Rattus norvegicus: one gene and its partners. The protein of the gene in region 1 interacts with the protein of each later gene in a biochemical or structural test. Links are inferred from orthologs where the notes say so. Each region holds a gene or a part of one and is shown on either strand. Other genes may lie near its edges. The genes, in order: Nr2f1, Ahr and Bcl11b.

The links.
Region 2: the proteins of Nr2f1 (region 1) and Ahr form a complex in vitro, tested with the Homo sapiens proteins (2 studies listed by BioGRID). The link is inferred for Rattus norvegicus from reciprocal best matches to the Homo sapiens genes NR2F1 and AHR.
Region 3: the proteins of Nr2f1 (region 1) and Bcl11b form a complex in vitro, tested with the Homo sapiens proteins (2 studies listed by BioGRID). The link is inferred for Rattus norvegicus from reciprocal best matches to the Homo sapiens genes NR2F1 and BCL11B.

Annotation. Positions count from the first base shown.
Region 1 is NC_086020.1:9,783,212-9,786,955, reverse strand, and holds the start of Nr2f1 (COUP transcription factor 1), read left to right. Parts: upstream 1-1,031; 5' UTR 1,032-1,299; coding exon 1,300-1,753; intron 1,754-1,968; exon of another isoform or gene 1,969-3,470; coding exon of another isoform or gene 3,471-3,483; intron 3,484-3,744. UniProt on the Homo sapiens protein: Coup (chicken ovalbumin upstream promoter) transcription factor binds to the ovalbumin promoter and, in conjunction with another protein (S300-II) stimulates initiation of transcription. Binds to both direct repeats and palindromes of the 5'-AGGTCA-3' motif.
Region 2 is NC_086024.1:57,996,694-58,000,437, reverse strand, and holds the start of Ahr (aryl hydrocarbon receptor), read left to right. Parts: upstream 1-1,536; 5' UTR 1,537-1,564; coding exon 1,565-1,626; intron 1,627-3,744. UniProt on the Homo sapiens protein: Ligand-activated transcription factor that enables cells to adapt to changing conditions by sensing compounds from the environment, diet, microbiome and cellular metabolism, and which plays important roles in development, immunity and cancer.
Region 3 is NC_086024.1:132,688,466-132,692,209, reverse strand, and holds the start of Bcl11b (B-cell lymphoma/leukemia 11B), read left to right. Parts: upstream 1-1,107; coding exon 1,108-1,165; intron 1,166-3,744. UniProt on the Homo sapiens protein: Key regulator of both differentiation and survival of T-lymphocytes during thymocyte development in mammals.

The DNA of each region.
Region 1 (3,744 bases):
GAGGATTATTTATTCGACCTACTTTGGATGTCTCTCTCGCTTTCTCTTTTTCCTTTTTTTCTCAAGTATTTTCTTCTGATTTTTATTTTTTTTCCTATTTCGCTGTGAATTCGTCGCTGGCGTGAATTATCTCGTATTTTTCTCCCCCTTCCGTCACCTCCCGAAAGAAGAAGGCAGAGAGAACCCGGCGCCACCCGCACAACAAAAAGAGCAAAGTGTGTGATCTTCCTCGCCGGCTGCCTCCCGCTCTCCAGAGCTGCCTTCCTGAATGGCTGGCTGCGTCCGGCCCTGGACCTGGCCCCCCGACACCCGAGCGCCCTGATCGTCGCCGGCAGCTTCGCCCTGCGTCCTGCTCGACTCTCCCAGCTCCCCGCACTCTTGAAACCGGGCGAGGGCTCCCGCCGGGACAGCGGCGGAGGCGCGGGCAGCCCCGGCCTCGGCTCGCGCTCGGGCTGCGGCCCCGACTCCAGCTCGGACTCCCGCCCGGGCCCCAGCTCCTCCAGCGGCGCTCGCAGCGGCGGCCGAGGCTGCTCCTCCGGCGGCGCCTGCAGCCGCGACCTCCTCCTCCTCCTCCTCCGCCGCCGCCGCCGCCGCCGCCCTCGCCGCTTCCTCTATGTCGGCTCAGCCCGCGCTCTGCGCGTAGCCCCAGCGGCCGGCCGGCCGGCGGGCGGGCGGGCGGGCGCCGGGCGCGAGTGAGAGAGTGTGTGTGCGAGTGTGTGTGTGCGCGGGTGTGCGGGCGAGGCGGAGGGCGAGTGTGTGCGCGCGCCGTGGCCCATGCCCGCCGCCCCCGGCGCTGCGCCCCGCGCCGCTCCCGGCTGCCGCCTGTGCCATTTCTGATTTTGCAACTTGGGGAAGAAGAAAAAAGCGAGAGAAGGGAGCTCGCTCGCCGGGGGGTGGGGAGGGGGGAGAGAGAGCGCGGCCCCCCCAGGAACGGAGCGCGGGGGGGAGCGGGCGAGGGGAGCAGGGGTGTTGGGGGGGAGCCTGAGAGCCTGGGGGGGCTGCAAAAAGAGAGAAAGAAAACAGCAGGAACCACAACAAAACGCCAGCAGGGCGGGCGGGCGCGCAGCAGCAGCGGGGCGGCCGAGGCAGTAACGGCGGCGGCGGCGGCGGCGGCGGCGGCTCAGGCAGAGGCCGGTGCCCGGCTCGGGCTTGGCTCCGGCGACCCCGGGGTGCCCGGTGGGCCCCCCGCCCCCTCCCCCTCCCCCCTTCCCCTTCCCCTTCCCCTCCCAGCGCGCCCGCGCGCCCCGCGGCCCTCGGCGAGCAGCTCGGCTCCCCCCAGCGCTCCCCGGGCCCAAAGATATGGCAATGGTAGTTAGCAGCTGGCGAGATCCGCAGGACGACGTGGCCGGGGGCAACCCCGGCGGCCCCAACCCCGCAGCGCAGGCAGCCCGCGGCGGCGGCGGCGGCGAGCAACAGCAGGCGGGCTCCGGCGCGCCGCACACGCCGCAGACCCCGGGCCAGCCCGGAGCGCCCGCCACCCCCGGCACGGCGGGGGACAAGGGCCAGGGCCCGCCGGGTTCGGGCCAGAGCCAGCAGCACATCGAGTGCGTGGTGTGCGGGGACAAGTCGAGCGGCAAGCACTACGGCCAATTCACCTGCGAGGGCTGCAAAAGTTTCTTCAAGAGGAGCGTCCGCAGGAACTTAACTTACACATGCCGTGCCAACAGGAACTGTCCCATCGACCAGCACCACCGCAACCAGTGCCAATACTGCCGCCTCAAGAAGTGCCTCAAAGTGGGCATGAGGCGGGAAGGTGAATATTTCTTCTCTGCTTCTCTCCCTGCGCTTCGCCCGCCTCCCTGCTCTTTCTTTCTCTCTCGCCTTGGTGGCTATGGCTGTGGGGATGGGGCTCCTGTGGTCCCAGCCGGTCCGGCTTCCCATTCCTCGCTGCTTTCCTCCCCCAGCGTCCCCCACCCCACCCCCCCAGCTCGCTGCTGCTGCCTCCCCCTCCCGGCCTGCGCTCCTCTCCCGGGCTCCTCCACCCCTCCCGCTGCCTGCTCAAGATTGTGTCCCTGGGATCCAGAGCTGTAGCTTAAAAATCCCTCCCTTCCTCCGTTGGATGTGCTCCGTGTGTGTTTCGCTCCCGCTTGTGTGTGAGGATGCTAGGGGCTGTGCTGGCATGAACTTGGGAGGGGTGCTGATTTTCCGCAGAAAACCGTTTCTCTCTGTGTGTGTTTTTGGTTTTGTTTTTTCGTTTTTCCCATTCCACTTTCTCCTCCGCCTCATCGTATCTTTTATTTATAATGGGAGAGGACTGGGGCTGGAGGACCCTGATCCTTAGATTCATTGCTGCCACCATCCTTTAGGAAGCTTAGCTTGGAAAAAGAGGAGTGAGATTTATTGCACTTGTAGGTCTAATTAGGGGGAAGGGGGGCTTCTGGCCTGTTCACTGGCTCCCTCTCCTCTTCAGGGACCTGGGGCCGCCTCCTCCCGAGCTGTGGCCTTGTTTTCACCCCTATACTTTGAAAGGAAAGTTTGTGACTGAACCCTGCTTTTATAGTAGTGTCATTTTTAAAGCTTGATACTCGTTTTATTTCTTCATCAAACTCCACCCTCTGTTTAAATACTGCATACAAATTACAATTTACAACGGCATTTACCGATCCTTCTGATTTGGCTATAATGCATAAGCTGCAGCTGGCATGAGCTTCTGCATCGATGTGTGGGTTGTTTTTTTTTTTTTTAAGCACAACTTTTGATGTTGGATTTGGATATACTTCATGTTCATGTGGCATGAGATGGAACACTTTTTTTACAAATATATTTAGTGGTTTATAGTTAAAGTTTATCTCCTGACAATCATTAAAGATATAGTCAAATTAGTGAACCAGTCAATTTCGAAGAATGTAGATTACTTCTCCTTGTAATGGCTTAAAATTATATTTTATATACCACAAGAAAAGAAATTGGATTCCTTCAGATCTCAAGGAAGAGGCAAATATGATGACTTCATTTCTAGCTCCAGGGAGATTCTGCAGGCATCTGGGGGGGGGGGGGCTTTGAATTGTGCTCTCATTTAATTGAAAAATAACTGCCAAGTTCAAAACTATAATTAGAAAAAGTATTCTAACCATTGTGTTTCAAGAGCGTAAACTGCACTGCAACTCTTGTTGGAAGTAGAACCAAAGAAAATAGAGCAGAGCCTGAGACAGGACAGCTCTGTGGACATGGACCTATCTCTACTAATTTGTTGGGGGGTGGCAGTTCAGTAGCCCTAACTTTCCCTAGCTTTGTCTTTGTTTACATGGCAATTTAAAATGCTGGCACTGTTGAAGTAAAACATACACATAAAAAAAAAACTTTGGTCAGCTTTAAGAACTCAAAGCATGCTTACGTTTTGCATGCAGATGGTTAATGAATCCAGTGTTTTTGCAGTTGCAAGCTCGTGCATTCACTGGGCAAAGCTGGCTGCAGGTTGCAGTGGCATCGCACAGGACAGACATTAATTATAGTTCCTACTTTTTTCAATAATGTTTGGCTACTGTAAGTTCAACTTTCTCTTGAAATTTTTACATGTTCTGTTGCTTTTAATAGTGAGAACTTTGTATGGGGTAGTCGGGAGGAGGGAAGGTGGGAGGAGGTGTGTATGATGTTTCTCGGGGTCCAAACTTGTAAGTGCTTAGTAAGATATGTAACTTGTATCTCTTTTAAAGATAATTCTGTAGCACTTTAGAGATTGTGGGAACATTTTATACACTTGCTGCATGTTTGCAAGTGAAGAGTGCACTAAGGTTTGTGGTTGGT
Region 2 (3,744 bases), on another chromosome or scaffold:
CTCCATTCAGAGTTCCACAGCGGCTGGACCAGTTCACACAACCACCCACAGTGATGAAGGGTTCCTCTTCCTCCACAGTCTCGGCACCATTTGTTGTTCTTAGCTTTCTGGATGTCCTTTTCCTTGCTGCCATGCATCCTCTCTTCTAATCTCTCTCAAATCTATAAAACGCACCCAACTTCATCTGCGTCTCCACCATGTCCAGCATCACCGCCCTGACTCCCAAAATGCACTGCTCTGCCTCTATTCTTTGGTGGTTAACAGCCAACTTCCCTCCTTTACTATCTCTGCCTTCTTCTCCCTCATCCCTATTGCTGTGCCATCGGACTTGCACCTGCACGGCTTCAGACTTCATCAACTTCCCAGCGACTCTCTCTTCATCCACTTTGCTCCCGAGTAACAGAATTGCCACCTCTTCCCACAGTGACTTTCCCGAGATAGCAGGAATAGTATCTTCCAAATTCAGGCTTTAAAAGTGTCCCATCGCCTACAGAATGAGACCCAACTTCTTTATTAAGGCTTGATGATTGGTTTCTTGGTTTTCTGAGTATCCATTACATTTTTTTTTCCTACCACCAGATCTACCGGACTACCAACAAAGGCTCAGCTCTCTGGTCATAGTCTTAGTACCTATCCTCCCATTTCTCAGCACCCCTATGCTTCTTTCCTACACATCTTCCTGAAGTCTGATGAAGAAAAAGATATTTTATTACCTTCTGTAGATACAGTAAATGTGGGAGGGAAAGGTATTATAAAACTCCTGGCCTTCAAGGCTCAACTCTGTAGGGCTTCTGTAGCTTTCCCCTTAGAGTGCTCTTCAGTCACAGTATTTATCAACCAGCTCAATGTAAAATCTTTGTCAAAACTTAGATGACTCAACTCTAGGAGGAGCTAAGCTCTTTGCCTAATAAATCTTGATGTCTGGGTACAAGGAATTTGCCCAGACATAATGTGGCCTCACACTCCCTTCCAGGCTGGAAAACAGGTACTAGTTGAACACCACCCCGCCTCCAGAACCTCTGGCTGGAAGAAATGTAGGGAGACACTACGTCCTGCGTCATCACGTGCTGCGAGGAGGGTGGGGCCCTCCTGGGAACCGTGAGGGGCGGGGCTGAGCAGGTGGGGCGGGGCTGGAGCCCGGGGCGGAGCTGCGCGGGGTCGCGACAGCGGAGGAGCGGGCTCGCGGCGGGCGGCAGCGCGTGTGTGCGGTCCCCTCGACGCTCGGTGCCCCACGCGTGTCCCGGAGAGGTTCAGCCCGGAGCGACCCGGAGGACGGACTGGTAGACTCTGGGGTGGCAGCCTTGCTGGGCTTTGAGCAGCGCGGGCTTATCGCCTGAGCAGGGAAGCCCTTGAGCACTACGGCTCCTCCTGACCCTCGGGACCGGGCGCGGCTGGCTTGCGGGTTTCTCCTCCGCGGCTAGCCCGGGCAGCCCCGCGTCCCCTCTGTCGCCCGCACCTGCGCGTCGCGGTCGGTCCCGCCCTCGGTGGCGGCGGCTCACCTGGGCGCAGCGCGGGCAGGGCGCCGCCTCCGGGACGCAGGTGGAGCGGGCAGGGCGCGGGCACCATGAGCAGCGGCGCCAACATCACCTATGCCAGCCGCAAGCGGCGCAAGCCGGTGCAGAAAACGTGAGTGACGGCGGGCAGGCGCGCTCTGCGGGTGCGGGAGGTCCCCACGCGTGCAGCCATCCGGGAGCAGGGGCTCAACCAATGCATTAAAAAATTCGTCCCTGCTTTCGGGCGCCTGCACCTTCGCAGCTCAGCGACCTTCCCTGGCCCTGATTCGTTGACAGCTCTGACCTACCTAGTGCCTCTCTGGCTTAGTTAGTTAAGCCTGCCTGGAAATCCTCCACTCTAGATCTCCACCGTGGTGAGCTTTAGGGGACAGCTCACTGAGGTGAGAAGTTGGCCAGAGCTAAACACGTGCCGTCTTGAAGGAGGGGTCCTGGCCTCTGAGGGAATTTCTTTCTGTTCTTAGCGTCTAGCTTTCTGTTTTGCTCTTTCCTTTACCTCTAGGCAGCGATTTTGCCGGGCTCAGAATAGGCGCAGAGTTGGTAGCAGGTTGGAGTGTGCCTTGGACAGGTGCTCGGGCGGCTTGGTGGCATTCATAGCCACTCTTTAGTGACACTTTCTTCCTCCTTTTGGAGTGCTTGTAGGGTATATAAAATTTTTTAAAAATTAAGGAGAGGAAAAAGAACTGGACTGACTTCTAAGTTATTTCTACTGTCTACCTGTAATTCATCTCCCCTTGCTTATAAAGTTTTGCCGATTCTAACAGTGATTACAGACTTTGGTCTTTGTTTCCATGGGCTATTTCTGTGAGATGGGAGATATTCATAAACATTTTTTTTCACAGAAAAGAGATCCGAGCATGAGACAGGGTTCCATTTAGGAGTTGGGTGTATTGATGCATTCATTCATAATTATCTTGGAGTTTCCACAACTCACCATTTCTTATTTTTTTAAATAAATTATTTTAGGAACACTTTCAGGTAATCAGTAGTGTGCATTTTGCTTGAAACCTGACAGCCATCACCAAGTGAACCAGAAAAATAAGATCTTAAGATTTATACACTGTTTACAACTAGTTACTAACTTAGAACTTGGGTTATTTGTGGATTTTAATTCCGTTAAGAATTTCAACTGTCATAGTTCTTCAAATCTTGACTTAAAAATTAATTTTAAGAGGAGATGCTTGTGTATAAATAGTCTGATCAGAATTTGGAAATTTTATGGTACACTTTAAAGGACGCAAATATCGTTGACTCAGCAGTTTTCCACCTCGGCAGTTCTTTGGACCCCGGCTTTCAGCGCCTTGTTATTTTGTAAAATGGTTTCTTTTTATTAAACCATGTTTGCTCAATTTGACTTTGTTCCTGATGGTTAAAGTTTCAGAGGCTTTTAAGTGCTTGTTCCCTGTTTTTGTTAATAGTAATACTAACTTAGCCTGAGATGAAAAAAACTCAGATGTTATGTACAAGGGCGTAAAGTCTGAAGCTCCCCGTGAGTTTTTTAAATAACTGATTTTCTCTGTGTTTCTTAAGGATGTAAACTGCTTTTCATACAAAGGTAACCATCTCAGAGGTTGCTCTTTATAACGTTGGATATCTTTAGTTTCCAGTCAATATAAAGAGCTTCCTTTTTAACACTGCAACACTTCCCCTTAGATTAAGATACCTTTAACTGTATTGCCACTATTTGTGTTTGATAATTTCTCACAACTGAACTGTTGTCCCCACTAACTTATATTTTATTTTACATGGTTCTTGACTTCTGTACTGAGCCCCTTTAATCAACTCTAACCCTTCATAGGCCTTAAAGGTCACCACTTGCTTTGTCGAAGACTTTTAGTGCTAGCACTTAGATCCTCTAGTGAAAGTACTTACATTTTTCCCTCCGAGTAGAAAATAGTGAACTTTATAATGCACATAATCAAAGTTCATCCTTAACAATTAGATCATTGAGCTTTAATATGTCTTTAAGTTAAACTACTTCTATGCAGTGAGGCCCCCAAATACCTCAATTTTAGGAAAAACACAAAGATGTGTTGACCGTGCTTTCTAATTAACTCGAACCCTTCAAGGGAGAGCTGTTTTATAAGGAGCATGTGCACTGTAATTCTACAGTGTTAAATAATGTCATATTTAGACAGTTCCATGAAAATTTGGAGTAAAGTAGGTGACATGATTTCAACTTGAAGCTTGTTCATTCTTCAAATGAGGATCTAGATACAAAATAAGCTCCCTC
Region 3 (3,744 bases), on another chromosome or scaffold:
TGTGTGAGTGCGCGCGCGCGTGTCTCGGTGTGTGCTTTCTTGTTCTCTTACAGGGTACAATGTTAAAAAGCCACCGCTAGTCGCCCCCAGTGCTCCGACTCTCTGGGTCTTTTTGTCTCTAGAGCAGATTAAACGTCACGTCCGCACTTGAACTTGAATTTTATCCCATTGTACAGAGGCAGCCCCAGCCACAGAGAGACCGAGAGCTCCCGGAGAACCCGGACTCCGCCATCTTCACGTTGCAATCTATAGCTCCCGTCCACGCCCGCACCGACCCGGGCGCATTGGGCGAGCCGCCCCGCAGTCCCGCTCCCCCTGGGCCGGCGGCGCCGGGCAGCGCTGGGGAGCGCACGCGGGGACCCGCAGCCCCTCCGGCCGGCGCCAGCCTGCCAGGTGACCCGGGAAGGAGCCGCTCCCGGAGTCCCCCAGAGCCTCGGAGGGGTCAGCCTCCGAGAAAGAAAAAAAGCAGGCAGCGCGCAGAAAACCCAGAAAGAACCGAACCAAGGCAGTTTTTCATTGCTTTCGGGTTTTTTGAGGGGGCGGGGTGAGGGGGTACGAGACAAGTCCCCAAGTTTTCTTTGCCTTTTTTTTTTTTTTTGCTTTTTTGAAATTTGTTTGCATTTTTCCTCCCCCCTCCCCTTGGGTGGAAGTGCGCGTTCCACCTACCAGACCCCGAAAGAAAAGTGTCAGAGGCCGGTGCAAAACCCGGCGTAACTTCAAGAAGACATTTACAAGTCTAAGAGGCCAAGCACTTTGAAGAAGTGTGAGAGATATTTTTCCTCCAAAAGAATATATTTTTAAAGAAACCGGCCAGCCCGCGGCGAGCAACAGCAGCTTTATAATTTATTTTAGCCTTTCTCTATTTTAGAGCAAGCCATCTTCCTGGCTTTTTCTTTTTTCTTTTTGCAAAAACAAAAACAAAAACACAGCCCAGAAGAAAAAGCAAAATAAAGACGAAGAAGAAGAAGAAGAGGAGGAAGAGAGGAAGGGCAGAGGCACCAACCCGGGCGGAGGAGGAGGCGCGGCGGCGGCGGCGGCGGCTCAGACCCCCTCCCCGGCCCGCATCTGTGCAGCTTTCCGGGCGATGCCAGAATAGATGCCGGGGCAATGTCCCGCCGCAAACAGGGCAACCCGCAGCACTTGTCCCAGAGGGAACTCATCACGCGTAAGTGTCCGCCGCACGCGCGAGGGGCCGGCGGCTGGGGCTCCGGGCGCCCGGGGCTGGGGACACCAAACCGGGCTCAGAGGCCGAGCGTGGGGCTCTGGGAAAGTTTCTCTGCAGCCGGGGGCAGCCGCCGCGGGCTCCGGGCCGGGGAGGGGGTGCGCGGGCTTGCAGGCGGCTGTGCGCGCCGAGCCCGGCTGGACGCTCGGCCCTCCAAGCGGCGTGTGTGGCGGCGGCGGCGCTGGTGGCGGGGTTTGGAGAGGAGGGGGAGGGGGCCGGGGAGCGGAGGGGGAGGGGGAACCGGGAAAAGTTGGCGAGCGCGTGGGTCCGCGCTCGGAGAAGCGGGCGGACGGAGCCCCGAGTGAGCCCTGGACCCGAGGACCCGCAGGGTAAAGGGGTAGCCGCGGGCTTCGGGTTCCCGGTCGCTGCGCCCCGCCAGGCAGGGCGCCGACCGCGCCGCTGCTAGGATTCCGAAGCCGCCGTCCCCTCCCCTCCTCTCGCTATTTGCAAAAGAATCCAGCTGCGCAGCTGTTTGCTGGGCTGGAGCACCCCCTCCTCATTTCCCCACCTCCGTCTCCTGGGACGGTCTTGTCTTCTTTCCCCCCCAACTCAAAAAAAAAAAAAAGGTGTGGGGGGAGGTTTTGGGTTGGTGAAAAAAAATCCCCGCCACGAGTTAAAAAAAAGAGTCATGAGTGGGAAAAGAGGGATGCTCTTGTAACAGTAAAAATGAAGAGGAGAAAAAAAAAAGGAAGGGGAGAAAATACCTATCATCCTCTTATCCATCTCTCTATCTCTGTATCTTTCATCTTCCCCATCTAAATAAACAAGGCAGGTCGCAGTGCAAATCCGCCGGATTTCAAGCAAGTGGCGGGGCTGGCAAAGTCAGGCAGCAGGGCAGACACTCAGCGGCTTCCAACGCCCCAGCTGGGTTCGTTTAGAAAAGAAAACGCCAGCGCGAGCCGCGCAGGTACACAGTTCTCCCGGAACCCGCCGGGTCCCGGCGCTGCCACCAGCGAGGTCGGCTTGCAGAGCTCTGGGACGCCCTGGCCGCAGCCAGCGCGAGTCTCTCCCCGCGGGTTTTTTTTTTTTCTCTTTTGGTTGCGGTTGCTTTTTATTTATTATTTTTTTTATTGCAATAGAAATAAAATTTCCTCTGGGTGCCATCGAGACCTCAGGCAGGTTGTAATCTTGCAATTCTTCGCTCACCTCACTGCGTTGGGGCCGGGCTCCCCGCGCTGGAGCTGGAGAAGCCTGTGAATGACGGGCCGCCGCTGAGGACTGACTGCCCTGCAGTCGAGAGCCGAATATTTATGTTATATTTTAAAGAATTTAAATAAATAAATAAATATATAAAGGGGCTCTCCCCTCCCCTCCAACCCAGCACAGGAGCCATCTGCTCGAAGCTATTGCTGTTCCCATCTCTCCTTTGTTACCGCAGACACGTTAGTAAGAATTCGTGCGTTTATTATTATTATTATTATTATTATTATTATTATTATTATTATCTCGGGGGGCATATATATTAAAGTGAGGTTCTTGGGAGAGGGATGTCTCTTACGGGTAGAAGGGAAGGGAAGTTTCCTTTATTTTTTTCAATGTTGTAATGTCAAAGGAGACTTGCTGGTTGCATTTAAAACAAAATGTTTTGCAGCCAAATTTGAGCCTGGTCTCATCAAGATCCTTTTGACCACTTGACATTTATTTTCTTCCTTTAGCATGCTGCAGCCATGGGTTATTTTACAGTCCACTTCCTACCTTTAGGTGAAGTGGTTGTTAAAACATCCACACTTCCAGACCCTAATTTGTCCAAGAGGCAGTTTGCTGCCACCCCCATCCCCTGTATAATTGCAAGAATTGTTTTTGAGGGGGGGGGTCTGTGGGAAGGGGAGAAGCTGGTAGCCCCTGACACTGGGTCATTTGCAGTATTAGGGGAAAGGCAGATAGATTTGCTGTCCTTCTCTGGGCATCCCTGGGACATCCTGAGCAAGCTCTGACCAGAGGGACCGGTGGCAGCTGGGCCTGGGGGTGAGGGGTGCTTCATGTGACATCCTTCCATGCATTTGGTTCTCTGTCTCACCCTTGCTCTGAGCAGCTGGGAAAAGCCAGCTGATGCTTCTGCAGAGGCAGAGAAGGCAAGAGTGCTGGAGAGAAAAGGGGGCAGCAGGCCAGGCTGCTGAGCAGTTCTACCTGCCTTCTGGGGACCCTGGGAGCCTGGGCATTGTTTCAGGGGGTTAAGCAGGGAGAGCGGTTCAAAAGGTGTTCAGAAAAGCAGCTGGCTTTTCTGTCCGTGCAGTATCACCCCAGAGGTAGCAAGACCGGGATGCAGGAGATACAGTGTAGCCTGGGGATTGTGACTAGTTATGAAGCATGGGATACAGGAGCTCTGATTGCAAAAGGCCTGGGCAGCCGAGCAGGTGTTGTCTCAGCCCCTACAGACACTCACTCCCATGTGAGATTTTAGATCTGAAGGAAACCATCTAAGACGTGGCCGATCGGTTTTTTTTTTTTTTTTTTTTTTTTTTTTTTTTTTTTTTTTTTTTTTTTCAGTTGGGTGGCAGCCTTGGGCCTGTGGGGCAGTAGCT